Linked DNA regions of Stegostoma tigrinum. The protein of the gene in region 2 purifies or fractionates together with the protein of the main gene of each other region. This does not show direct contact. Links are inferred from orthologs where the notes say so. Each region holds a gene or a part of one and is shown on either strand. Other genes may lie near its edges.

Region 1 (7,039 bases), on a different chromosome or scaffold from region 2:
TAGGTGGGGGAAAGATGTACAATCTATAATAGGCTGTAAACACTCAATCCAGCAAGCTTTAGAATCACAACTTTACAACACAGAAGTAGGCTATTCAGCTCACTGTGTCAGTGACAATTCTCTACAAAAGCAGTTCCATTTTTCCAATTATCCTGCTGCTTCTTTTTTCATTCTCAAATATTTACGTATTTTTCAACTAACTATGAAAGAAATATTTGTATTACATTGAGAAAGTCGCTGCAGTAGAAGCACGAAGTTTGAATATTTTTTTTTTCTTGACCTTGTCTCCCAACGGCTATTCTGTTTAACCTCAGTTACTGCTGCTGGTGCCAGTGGAAATTTTTAAAAGATAGGCTGCTTGAGTGTGCTATTCTGGCTGTTTTGGAATCCTTTCCATTGTGAGTATTTACCAAGGCTTAGTTGTATTCTTGGTTGACAAGGGAGTCTTCCCAGTGTGATGACTGTGCAGCATGACCAGGCCACAGTTGGAGTAGTCTTACATCTTGCCGTGTTTCATATGCTCCCTCAGTGAGCCAAGAGAACCACCCAGAGGATAAGGGGAATTGAGCAGGCCAAATCTTAAGTAATGATCTTTTATACTACCTTTTACTACAGTAAAATCTCAAAACACTTCAGTAACTGAATCTAAGTTGACAACAAGGACATAAAGTATTGAACTAGATGGCTCAAAACCTACTTTTAACAACTTTTTGTGGAAATTAAAAAAGTTTGGGGAGAGATTTCAGGAGTTGGGGTCCACACTGTTGGTAGGTGATAAGTTTAGACAATGTGTAGGAAGCCATAGCTGAAGGAGTGTAGGGTTCGATAATATGGCAAACTACAATTCTGAAACAATGTAAAATAAAATATTTTGCTTTTGAATGCAATAACTTGCTGTGTTGAAAACTACATGTAAGCTGTAAGTGTAGTTGATATTTACTAGTGATGACCATGACACTTTGTTTTTCTTCAAGTAATGGCATGCAAGTGTAAATATTTGCTTCAGTTAATTACATTATCTGAAAAATGGCACTTCTGACAGTATACTGCTCTGTTTATATTGCACCTTTGATCATTATTCAATGAATAGCTCATTATTTTATTCTCTCCTATTCAGTTTTTCTTGTTCTTTCACATAATGCAGCATTTTGCTGGCTTGACCAGATTTTTTTTGCCATCCCAAATTGCACTTGGAAAGGTGGTGGTGAGTTGCTACATCTATGTGGTGTGGCTACCCAGAGTGTTTTTCAGGACCCTTTTGGTACCAACTAATTTCTCGGAGCCAATAAATCAAACAGTACTGACTTAAAGATGTTCCAGTCTGTGTGTTAAATTGATCTGAGTGGCTCTGTGTGGGCTATCTGTTGGGTTTTTTTGTTTTTTGTTTTTTTTTGGCAAAATTTGCCTCAGACTGAGTGGCAGCCAGACAGGTTAGAGAAACAACCTAACCTGTATCCTAAGAGATCTTTAATGAGCAAAGGAAACTGAAGTTGATCTTGCATGATCCTAACCTGCCTTACCCATTCTGTGCAGTAAGCATTACCTTAACATGCTGTATCCTCAGTAAGGATCAAAACACCATCTTAGTATGCCCCATTCTTGGTACAGACCAAACTGTCACCTGCCTTCAGGATGTAAGAAATACGGGTAGAGTAGGCCGTTAGTCCCCTCAAGCCTGCTGTGTCTCTCAGGAAGATTATTGGTTGTCTAATATAGACATATCTTCACTCTGCTGCCCCTCTCCCATAATTTTTGATCCCTTGTCAACCAACGATCTAACTAAGCCTTGAAAAATACTCGTTGGGGAGAGGATTCCAAATGTTAACAGCATTGAAATAAATTATATTATCTTACTTCTGCGTTAAATAGGTGAGCCCTTGTTTTGAAACGACACACTTAGGAAACATTATTTCAGCTTCTACCTTGCAATGTTCCTGTAGTGTTAGAAGTTTCAAAAAGATGTGTCTCATTCTTCAAAACTATAATGCATTCAAACCAACTTACACAGTCTCTCCTCATGACAAGTTCCTTTAGACCAGAAATTAGCCAAGTGAATCTTCTCTGAACTGCCTCCAAAGCGATAGTGTCCCTGCTTAAATAAAATGACCAAAACTGAGCATAACGGAGTGGTAACAACCTAATGGCATTAGCCCTAGACTATTAACCCAGAGAGACAGATGATGTTTTGAGGAACTGGGTTAGAATCTTGCCATGGTAGATCGTGCAAATTGAAATTAATAAAAATCCAGAATTGAGAGTCAATTGATGACTATGTCACTGTTTTGGCAAAACCGATTTGGGCTAATATGCTTTAGGAAAGGAAACTGCCATCCTTACTTAGTATGGCCCATGTGACTCCAGGCTCACAGCAATGTGATTGATTTTTTAACTGTCTCTTGGGGATGGGCAATAAATGTTGCCCTAACCAGCAATACCCACATCCCATTTTTTAACGTACTTACATTGATATCATACCTTTGATAAGATGACAAAGGACAGTTAAGAATGGAACAATTAAAATCAAGCCATTCCTCAGCCTACCTTAGATGAATACAGGTCTGTTGGAGAGTTACGGGATTGGCAGAGATTATAAAGATGGGCTGAACAATGCAATTGAGGATCTGTAAATAAAGATAAGATTTCTTTTAATTTAATGCTTTACTGGACCAGAAAATAGTTTAGGTCAGCAAAGACAAGGTATTAGCTAAACAGACTTGTTGCAATTAAGGACACAAACAGCAGAGATTTTGGTGAATTTAAGTTGTTGCAAGGGTAGAATGTGGGAGGCCAACCAAAAGTATGCAGGAATTGTTGAATCTAGAGGTAATGAAGGCGTGAATAAGGGTTTCAGAGGTCAAAAATTCCAAGGCTCAGACATGAGCGGGAAGAGGAATTGGGGGCAGGGAGCAAATAAAACAGATTGAGGAAAGATTGTGAAAATGTTTGAAAGTCCCATGTGGGCAAATCCAAACCCAGGCTACTCTGCCACTTAGACAAACTGTATCTCGGTTTTGAAATTATAAATTAATTTAGTATTGATTGCTAGATGTAGAAGAGAGTTTTGCTACTACCTTTAATGTGAGAAGTATTTCCTAATGTAATTTCTGAAAGTCTGCCTCCAAGTTTTCTTTCTATGCCACCAGTCCTAGAGTCTCAAACTTGCTAATCAGTTTTTCCTATTAATGTGTTTAAAACTAATACAATCAACTTTTAATTTCTACGTTTGAGTTTTTGTGTCCCCAATATTTAATAGGAGGAAATTTCTACCTGTACTTTACTGGATGTCAGTTATGGAATTTGACAAATTGGAAATACAGGAATCAACAAAGTGCTAGCAACTTAGAGCTGGACATCGTCAGCATTAGTAAGTAACCCTGTTTTCTGAAGATGCTGCTAAAAGAGAACATGTAGGCAAGAAGGGGGTGTAAATAGATTTTTGAGGGTCATCAGAGCTAATCGTGTGGAAGTGGAAGGATGCATGTAACTCACAATAGTTAGGAAAAGAACCAGGTGAATCCCAGAATGTCCGCTTGAGAGAGTAGACAGGGTTTCTATTTAAAATCGCATCTGTAAAACAGCATCTCTGTCAATGTCAGTCTGGATTATAGCTCCAGAGCCTCTAAGGTGGAGTGCACAAGCACCCGATTTAAGGCATTTAATCTAATTTTATTTTGTTTAAGGCTCTCAGGCAAGGATGTTCCCAACTGAGCAGTAACTTTGGAAGTCCTACACCCAATCAATGCCTTCAGAAGCCTGGGGCAGACTGAGATGCTTGGGTAGCTTTGAGAACGTGGAGGGATTGGGGTGGGGGTCGCAGCTCGAATCCCAGCCCTTTCCTTCCGTTGCTCAGAAACGAACCGACAGGTTGGGGGTGTCGGCTGTGATTGGTGGAAGGTGCTGTCATTCAGCGTAGTCACCAAGCAGCCGGCACGGTGCATTTAAACCGTTCTTTCCCGGCATTCAGCCGGGCCCTCGGGTTCTATTTAAATACAATTGGCCAATCAGGAGCGGCGCACGGCTTGCTAACTGTCGACGCTCCAGATTTGAATCAGAGCCCCCGAGCATCTGGCCTGGGACGGACACGGTTTGCAGCGACTTTTTAACCAGACTCGGAGAAGACCCTGCTCAACTTCGATTTGGCACTCCATTCTCCCCATTCCCCCTGTCTGCACTGTGAACCGGTCAAATAATGACCACGGTGGCCGGTAAACCGTCCGCCAAGCCGGGGTCTGCGGCCCCGTCGGTCGTCGCTCCGGTGGCCAAGGAGATCCCCGACATCCTGGTGAACCCCAAGACCATGAAGAGGTACGTGCGGGGCCGTTTCTTGGGCAAAGGGGGGTTCGCCAAGTGTTACGAGATCTCCGACATGGACACCAACGAGGTGTTCGCCGGGAAGATCGTGCCCAAGACGCTGCTGATGAAGCCGCACCAGAGGGAGAAGATGTCCATGGAGATCTCCATACACAAGAGCCTCAATCACGCCAACGTGGTGGGCTTCCACGGCTTCTTCGAGGACGATGACTTCGTCTACGTTGTCCTGGAGCTATGCAGGCGGAGGGTGAGTGCCTCGGGTTGAGGAGTGGGGGGGAGAATTGACGGGAGCTGCTGGCACCGGTTTATACTGACCGCCGCGTCCCCCACCCCCTCTCTTCCCCCCGGGATCGACGGTTGTAAGCGGAGGAAGGGAAGAGCTGCGGGACAAAGGATCCCGGTGAATGGAGCCGAGTCGGAGCGTTCTCCCATTGGAACCAACTGTAACAATTTGGGGCTGGGGGAGGGTCTCACCCATAAGTGGCACCGATCAGGTGGGGGAACTGGACACTGTCAGACCGGGTACAGCAGCTCAGGGCCCTGGGCCTGGGCAGCGCTCAGCCTGTCCGTTCTCTTCCCCCCCCCCCCCCCCATCCAGGTTGAAGGGCTGCCCGCTGCTGTCTTTTTTAGTTGAAATGGGGTTTGTATTTAAAATTGCGGCAGCTCGGAGCCGGTTGGCTGGCGGGTGCCTCGTATTAAAGAAGGCGGAGCTTCGGCCTTGCGAGCCAGAAGGAGCAGCCCCTGGTTGGTCTGATCCTGTTTCGTGCTATTCCCATCTCCACTCCTCACTCTGTTTAATTCCTCAAATGGTTCGGTAAAGCCACAGTTGCTACCCTAAGTCTAGCTGGTGATTCTCCTCTCCTCTGTCAGCTGGCACTGCCTTGTGTTACTGATCGGCTGCGGCCAAAAGTTCAATACTGTTTTTTTCTTTAATTTTGTTTATAAAGTGAACTGGTTTTCTTTTAATACCGATCACAAGTTAATTGTCACATTCAGTCTTTACTAGAATTGCACAAGAGGCGGAAGGCTGTCACTGAGCCCGAGGCCCGGTATTACCTGAAGCAAGTCATCCTGGGCAGCCAATATCTGCACGATAACAACGTTATTCATCGAGATCTCAAGCTTGGCAATCTTTTCCTCAATGATGATATGGAAGTGAAAATAGGTAAAGCATGATAAGAGATAATGGGAACTGCAGATGCTGGAGAATCCAAGATAACAAAGTGTGGAGCTGGATGAACACAGCAGGCCAAGCAGCATCTCAGGAGCGCAAAAGCTGACGTTTCGTGCCTAGAACCTTGAAGGGTCTAGGCACGAAACGTCAGCTTTTGTGCTCCTGAGATGCTGCTTGGCCTGCTGTGTTCATTGTTAAATAGGTAAAGCATTGCAGTCGGTTGTCGATAGTCTTTAGCCAGTTCATGAAGCCAACAGTCACTTAGTCATAGAGCTGTACAGCACGGAAGCAGACCGTTCGGTCCAACCCAGCCATGCCAACCAGATATCGTAAATAGGTCTAGTCCCATTTGGCAATATCTCTCTAAACCCTTCCTATTCATACACCCAACCAGATGCCTTTGAAATGCTGTAATTATGACGGCCTCCACTACTACTGCTGGCAGCTCATTCCATACACACATCACCTTCTGTGTGGAAAAAAAGTTGCCCCATAGGTCCCTTTTTAAATCTTTCCCCTCTCACCATAAACCTATGCCTTCCAATCTAGGACTCCTATACCTTGCGGGGGGGAAGACCTTGGCGATTCACTATATCTGTGCCCCTCATGATTTTATAAATCTCCTATAAGGTCATTCCTCAGGTTCCAATGTCCAGGTTGGGGGATGAAAACTCCAGTCCATTCAGCCTCTTCCTCTAGCTCAAACCCTCTGAACCCAACAACATTCTTGTAAATCTTTTCTGAACGATCCCTTTCCTCTATCACGGAGACCAGTATTCCAACAGTGGCCTCACCAATATCCTGTACAGCCGCAACATGACCTTCCCAACTCCGATATTCATTGCACTGACTGATAAGGCAAGTGTACCAAACTCTACCTTCGCTACCTGGTTTACCTGCAACTCCACCTTCTATGCTATGAGCCTTCAACCCAAGGCCTCTCTGTTTGGCAATACTCTCAAAAGGGCTTTACCATTAGGTGTACAACTGACCTGCCCTGATTTGCCTTACCAGCACCAGCACCTCACATTTATTTATCCAAATTAAACCTCTACTGCAACTCCTCAGCTGATCTGATGGAGACACTTAGTTTTGCAACAGAAGTGCATCGTATGAAACTAGAATCCCTACAGTGAGGAAATGGGCCATTTGACCCAACAGGTCCACACTGACCCTTCAGAAAGTATCCCACCCAAAGCCATTTGCCTACCCTATCCCTGTAACCCTGCATTTCCCCCGTGCATGTTAGGTAGTTTGACCATCTTTGGACTGTGGGCGGAAACCAGAGCACGCAGAGGAAACTTGCACAGACACTGGGCGAATGTGCAAACTCCACACAGACTGAAAGTGGCATTGAACCCAGGCCCCTGGTGCTGTGAGGAAGCAGAGCTGACCACTGAGCTACTATGCTGCCCTGTGCGTCTTCATTTTAACAGAAGATGAATAGAGAAGTTGAGCAGTTAAACGCTAGCTTAATTTTTCTAGATTATTGTATCCCATTCCTGACTATAAAACTCAAGAGCTGGCCCAAACCTCCCTGGATTTGTTGGTGGT
Region 2 (7,373 bases):
TACTGTGAATGGACTATAATGGTTCAAGAAGGCAGTTCATCATGACTTTCTAAAAAGAGTATTTATAGATGGCCAATAAGCATTAACTTACAAATGACACCCACATTCTATGAGCACATTTTTAAAAAAACATATCTATACTTGGGATTTGTCTTCCAATTAGCAATGGATGTCAAGTACAAGAATTACTCCTCTGCAACAACTTATTTTGCAAACTTCCAGTTCAGTGTCATTCTGAAGTAATTCAGTTTTTAAATGTTTGCCTTGGCTTATCTTTCTCAGTCTCTCAAATCTTTAGCACCAGTCAAAATGTTATTTTTTTTAAAAAGCAATATGCCAAAAATAAACACTCTTTTGCTGGTACAAATAAAAAGTATTAAAGCCTCCCTCTTGACTCAATTCAATTCTTGAGAAATCAGCTTCACTGCCCCTTTTGCTACAATCATGTCCTTTGGAGCTATAGTGTTCAAAAATTATCAGGATATACTAAGCCAACCTCAGTAATACATTATAATGCCCTTAATACTGAACCCCACTCCTAGTTGGTGCTGCTGGCTACATACTAAAAATGGGAATTTCTGAAGATTCCCCAATGATTTTGTTCAATTTTGAATTGAATGTTTATTCCTTTAGAATTCCCCAAAATTTTAAATCTAAAATTTTAAGTAATTTAAAATTATTTTGTCATGCTAACTTTGTTCATCAATTCTAATAACTCCCAGCATTTTTAACAAATTTGACCTACTTTATAATCAGCTAACCTATCTGCAAACAAACTGTTCTTGAAAGAAAAACAACTAGTCAGAAGTGGCACTGTTTTTAATTAGATTTATAAACAAATCATTGTCAATTTAATCAATCTTCATCTATCCACCAAGTGACATCTAGTTCAATCGTAAAACAGGTAAATGACTAAGCAATGTTAAAACTAATGTAATCCGAACTTTTGCTAAAAGCAGCTCAATATTCTATACATGACAATCACACTACACAGGTTACAAGTCATGTATCAATTGTCAAACGTGTTTGATTTTGTCCAGAACCCAAAGTAAAAAAATACAAATTATGTACTTCCCTATCAACTGAAATGATGATATTTTAAACAAGCGAATTTTACTGGCCAGTAATATTTAACAGATTTTTCTACATGTCTGAAATTATACTGGGTCACTTTTTAAGAGGCTTCAGAATTTCATTCCCTTCACAAAGCTTTAATTCTTGCAGAAACATTGCTGATAACATTGTGCACAAAATATATAAAAGAACCCACTTATTTGATTATTACTTCCTTCCCTACTTTTGAAGAAACAAAGTATTTTCACAAAGTATGCAAAGCTCTGCCACCCACAGCCAAAGTGCTTATGCCATCTTTAAAGAAAAACCAACGTAGTCCATATGATAATGATACAGCCATAGTACCAAGTTTCAGGATTTTGACTCAGTGATGAAGACAGACTGGTATACATCCAAGTCAGAACAAAGCACGATTTAGAGTGGTGAATGTTTACAACGATGATGGGATGTTTTGTGCATCATTGAGCTCCAAGTGTTTTAACAGGCACATTCATATCGACATGCAGAGTATTCCATACAGCTCCTGATTTATGCCTTATAGGTGGTAGAAAGATTACAGAGTGAAATATTGCTTTCGGTGAATAACAACACTTCGCATCACTGAAGTAATATCATTCTCTTGTTAGTGAAGAATTATGAATTAAGTACAATTTACTATTACTCATGCAATCTTTATTCAGTCATAATCAGATGACAAGGGGCAATATATAGATCCGAAATTAAATGGAAACCTTGGAGGCCACACTATGTGCATTTTAGTGGGGGGGAAAGAGGGAGGGAAGAGAGAACAGAAAAGACAGGAAGAAATTTACTGGATAGACAAAAGAATGTGAATACATCTAATTACTTCATTCAAATTCTGGGAAATCACAAGATGATGCAAAGTGATTTCACATTTCTAGCAACCCACGATTTACCTAAAGCGTTCTGACGTCAATGTTGCAGTCACCAATGGCCCTCGAGTGTCACTAGTATTTGGAGCAAAACTGCAGCCATGAGCATAGACTATAGGAAACTGATTACCTTGAATGTCCAATACTTTTGCACCAAGCTAAACAGGTGATTTCTCTGTCCGAAAAAGACTTTTTACATTAATCTTTTTCAGCGCGCGGGTACTCACCTTCATGAAACCGAGAATGTTGTTAACAATCAAAGGACTCACTGATAATATCTTAACAAGTGCTTACATTCTGCTTGGCTTTGCTTTTGTCTCTGGTCCGTTAACTGCTTAATAACATATGCACCAAACACGAACAAAACTCTTTTCTAGGTCAGCACTAAAACGTCGGCCTGCCACGTTCGCCATCAACCAACTACAGAAGCTTGATCATACACGAAGCAAAAAAAGTCAAACTGTCCTTTAATCGTCAACCACCACACGCCCCAAACAAAATAAACAAGGCTACTCTCTCCTTTCCTTTGAGAAAATGAAACCTGCTGCCCTCTCAACTCACTTTCTCGAGTTTCTCGAAGTATTCCCTGAGGTAGGTGATGGGTTTCTCGGGCCTGGCGATGCAGAGCTGAACGATGCAGTCCTTGAGGACCTGCTGGATGTTGTGCTTGTGGACATACTGCTCACACTCTCGCAGGCTGCGCTCTTCTTCCCCGCTCCCCGCGGCCGCCATCTTAGCCACCCAGTTAACGCTTCAGAAGCCTGGAGGAATGATCGACAGCGAGTTAACTCGGCGCCGAGAGACCACTCGCCGCCTACTCCTCCAATCCACCCCCTTCCTCTAACCTACCCACCCCACAGAAAACGAAGTCGACAGTCGGAGCGGGAGGGCGATGGGCCTGTCTTTTCCGCCCCCCCCCCCACCGATCCTAGGGGCGACAGGCTGAACAAGTTTATCCGTAGGAACAGGGGCCTGTTAGAAAGCGACTGCGGCAGGACGAGTTTCCTCAGTCACTGTCACCTCCACCGGAAGGCAGCCGCGCCGCTGACGTCAATGCGCCTCGCTCTCAGCCGCGGTGGGGGAGGGGAGGCGGAAACCACAGGCCTGTGGAAATGGTATGTGCAGTGTGTTGTATGCACATACACGGGACACCACACTTGTAACGCGCACATTCCATGTTTACACGCTGCACTCAAGCATTCACTCTGTACCCTCACAGAACCAACGTGCTGCTACCCCTGCACGTCTCTCACTGTTTACAAATTTCACGAGGTTGGGGATAAACTGACACACGCACCGCGTAGGTATTTAAGCAAGCGTAGGCCCTTGAGCCACTCTTGTACACCATTCAAGGACATCACGGCGGATATGTCACTGGATTCTTCAAATGCCCACCTTCAACCCACACAGTCGATTAACAAAAACGTGTCAGGCTCAGATTTTAAACTAACAAATAAAGGAGCAACAGTTGTCACTTGCGAGGAAGAGACTTCTCCCATCTCTCGCAGTCCTGAAAGGTCAGATTCGTTTTCAGTTGAAGCCCCCGATGCGACACTTTCCGACCATAGAAAGTCTTTCTTTCTTCACTGTAATATCTTGAAAATTTCAATCAGTCATAGCATAACAAGGTGTAGGAACACAAGTTCATTCAGCCCAAGTCAGCTCTGTCAGTTCGGTGATGACTGATCTCATAATCCTGAACTCCAGTTTTCTGCCTTTTCCCCTATAACACTTGACACTCTTACTAATTAAAACGCTATCTCAGCCTTGAATATACTTAATGACCCAGCCTCAATGGCCTCTACAGTAAAGAATTCCACTGAATCATTACACTCAGAGAAGAAATTCTTCGTCATCTATGTTTTAAATGTGTGACCCCTTATTCTGAGGTTAAATGCTCTTGTTCTCGACTGTCTCGGGGCAAACAACCTTCCTGGACCTATACTGTCAAGTCCCCTAAGAATCTTGTAAATTTTAATAAGGTTGCCACTCATTCTTCTACATTGCAAAGAGTACAGGCTTAACCCGAACGGTCCTTTGGGAAATGATTTCTAGATATCCATATCAAAAATTAACATACATTGACATTTTCTTTCAATAGATATTTCACATCCAATGAATTAGTCACCTCTTCATAAATTACTAGATCATCAAGCATAATATATCCATTATAAAGCCATGCTGCTGTGGTCAATCAGCTGAAAATTTTGAAGGTGTTCAGTCATCATCCTTAACAGCTGACAAGTAATTTTGAGCCAATGTATTTAGGCTAACTGACCTATAGTTCCCTGGTTTCCCTCTCATAAATCTAATTTTACAGTCCAAAAATAGGACATCCTAAAGCGGTTTACAAGCTGAAATATTGGGATCATGAACTCCAATGCAGAAAGACAGTTGTGGAGTTCTGACCAAGTTATGACAACTGTACACATGTGCTCCAGTTCCAATAGTTCTTCCTAAGGAGTCGCAAAAACATTCAGGACATAAAAAAAGAGATCACAGGAAAAGAAAGATTGGTAAGCATTGATCTAAAGAAGCAGAAATTGAAGACCATAAGACATAGGAGTGGAAGTAAGGCCATTCAGCCCATCGAGTCCACTCTGCCATTTAATCACGGCTGATGGGCATTTCAACTCCACTTCCCTGCATTCCCCCCGTAGCCCTTAATTCCTTGTGAGATCAAGAATTTATCAATCTCTGCCTTGAAGACATTTAACATCCCAGCCTCCACTGCGCTCCATGGCAATGAATTCCACAGGCCCATCACTCTCTGGCTGAAGAAATGTCTCCTCATTTCCGTTTTAAATTTACCCCCTCTAGTTCTAAGGCTGTACCCATGGGTCCTAGTCTCCCCATCTAACGGAAACAACTTCCCAGCGTCCACCCTTTCTAAGCCATACACTATCTTATAAGTTTCTATTAGATCTCCCCTCAACCTTCTAAATTCTAATGAATACAATCCCAGGATCCTCAGCTGTTCATCATTACGTTAAACCTACCATTCCAGGGATCATCCGTGTGAATCTCCGCTGGACACGCTCCAGTGCCAGTATGTCCTTCCTGAGGTGTGGGGCCCAAAATTGAGAGAATTTTAGAAAACTGTTGGTGGGGCATTTGCAATGTCCTCACCTACTTCACAGAATCAGAGAATTGTTAAAGCGCTGAAAGCAGGCATTCAGTCCATCATGTCAGCACCTACTCTTCAAAATACTAGATAAGAATTTCATTTAAAACCCTGGGATAGAAATTATCTGGTGTAGTGATTGTAATCAGCCAGCTGGTCCTTATAGAATATGACTTCTCTGATCGGGCTGTTAATCTGGTCCAATCAGAGAGGCGTAGCTGACAGATAAGAACCTGAATATCAGACATCCTATTCACTCAGGGCAAATTCTGAGGAATCTGGATCTGTCTCAAGGGTTCTCCATGTGTAATTAAAAGATGACTTAGTGATGGGATACTGATAGCTGTGGAGTTATTTCATTATTTTATTTGATCTATTATTTTCTTCATTACTGTTATTTTACTTACACTGTCTTTCTCATAACGCAAATGATTTTAAAAAGTGCTGGTTTTGGTAGGAGTAAATTACTGCAGGTGCTGGAATCTATACTGAAAACAAAAAATGCTGGAGATCACAGCAGATCAGGCAGCATACATGGGGAGACAGCAAACTAATGTTTCGCATCTAGATGACCCTTCAGCAGAGCTGCTGTGAAGTGTGAAGGGAGCAGCATTTATGCAATGTTTGTGGGATGGTGTTTGCAGTGCTGAGGAAGAAAGGGTATTGATAGTACAAATTAAGTGGTTGGAATGTGAGAATGGCTGAACAATGGTGTGTCTAACTGCCAGGCTTTACAATGTTTTGGACTTAGTATTGAGTTAAACACCTTCTCTGATGAAGGGTCTAGGCCCGAAACGTCAGTTTTTGTGCTCCTGAGATGCTGCTTGGCCTACTGTGTTCATCCCTCTTCACACTCTTTCAGATTGAGAACCCACTTCCATTCCTTTAATTCTTTTAATTTTACATTATTTGTGACCATGTCCTCTCTCCCATCCCCCGACTCCAGTGGACTGTTTGTTTTTCCAGTCTGCCAGCAAGAGACAACTTCAATCTGCCATTCTCACATTCAGATCACTTAATCTGGATTATCAGCACCCTTTCTTCCCCCAGCACTCCACATCGTCCCCTTCCCCCCACCTAATGCATAGATGCTGTCCTGTCCACCCTTCACATCAACTCTGCAGAAAAGTCATCTCGACACAAAACGTTGGCTTGCTCTCACCATGGATGCTACCTGACCCGCTGTGATCTCCAGCATTTTTTGTTTTCAATGCTGTTTTGGTATCCCTTGCAAATTTCTTTTCATACAGTATTTTGTAAATTTTACAATTGATTTTGCCACTCTTTGCTATTCCTAAAAGCTCTTCCAATCAACATGATTTTTTTTTGCATTCCTGTCTTTAGTTTTCTTTCAGTTTTATGTTGTCTTTTGCCATTTGAGCTTCATATCCCTTAGGAATATAAACTGGTTCTATATGACATTAAGTTTTTTTTTGAATGCGATTGTTCTGTCTTTCTAAATATTTAACAAATTTGCCCAATTTACAGGACCTTTGGGACAAGCTTATTCAGGTCCTGAGTCCACACCTACCGCTCCTAGCCCAGCCAGCTCACTGCTGAGTTGGCATGACACATTCCTCCATTGCGTCGTTGACCCAGAGAGAGAAAAACACATTAAAAAAAACAGTAATACTTGGAAATGAATACATTGATCATACCGGAGCACTGTTCCGAGGTACACAAAACAAGTTAAATCAGTATGCGTCATCTACAAAATTAAAAGAAAGATCTGCAGATGCTGAACAGCTGAAACAAAAACAGAAATTGCTGAAGAAACCCAGTTGTTTTGGTAGTATCTGTGGTGAAAAAGCTTTCTCTCCACAAATGCTGCCAGACTTTCTGAGTTTCTCCAGTAATTGCTGTTTTTGCATCAGATTTTACTGCAGTGTTTCCTTTTGGGCAGGACCAGATTTTTGAAGAGTGTGGTTCACAGTGAATCAGATGTGACACGAACAATAGTCTGCATGAAGGAATTTCACTAGATAAGCTAATAAGTTCCTCCTTAGGCCACCTTGCCAAGGTAATGATCACCAAACATCTTGCATGGCCACTCATGATTTCCAACACTAAGTGAAATCACCAAACACTCCACTTAGCTCCTCATTTCTCATTGCCAAAGTATAGCACTTCCAAGTTCAAATAATACTGTATACCAAAATATCTCACACCAAGTGCCATTCAATCATACTTGTCTATGACAAATAGCCTGCAACTTTAAGTTCAGATCTTCATGTTTAAATAAAGGCTCTGCCCTCCCCATGTCTGAAATAGCTAATTATGCC

The links. The genes of interacting proteins can lie anywhere in the genome.
Region 1: the proteins of cAMP-dependent protein kinase type I-alpha regulatory subunit (region 2) and plk1 purify together in Homo sapiens (affinity purification with mass spectrometry; 4 studies listed by BioGRID and IntAct, with this or other methods). This does not show direct contact. The link is inferred for Stegostoma tigrinum from reciprocal best matches to the Homo sapiens genes PRKAR1A and PLK1.

What each region holds. Positions count from the first base shown.
Region 1 is NC_081376.1:22,425,764-22,432,802, forward strand, and holds the start of plk1 (serine/threonine-protein kinase PLK1), read left to right. Parts: upstream 1-4,019; 5' UTR 4,020-4,189; coding exon 4,190-4,558; intron 4,559-5,307; coding exon 5,308-5,476; intron 5,477-7,039. UniProt on the Homo sapiens protein: Serine/threonine-protein kinase that performs several important functions throughout M phase of the cell cycle, including the regulation of centrosome maturation and spindle assembly, the removal of cohesins from chromosome arms, the inactivation of anaphase-promoting complex/cyclosome (APC/C) inhibitors, and the regulation of mitotic exit and cytokinesis.
Region 2 is NC_081375.1:22,779,357-22,786,729, reverse strand, and holds the start of cAMP-dependent protein kinase type I-alpha regulatory subunit, read right to left. Parts: upstream 3,019-7,373; 5' UTR 2,817-3,018; intron 2,729-2,816; 5' UTR 2,700-2,728; coding exon 2,529-2,699; intron 1-2,528. UniProt on the Homo sapiens protein: Regulatory subunit of the cAMP-dependent protein kinases involved in cAMP signaling in cells.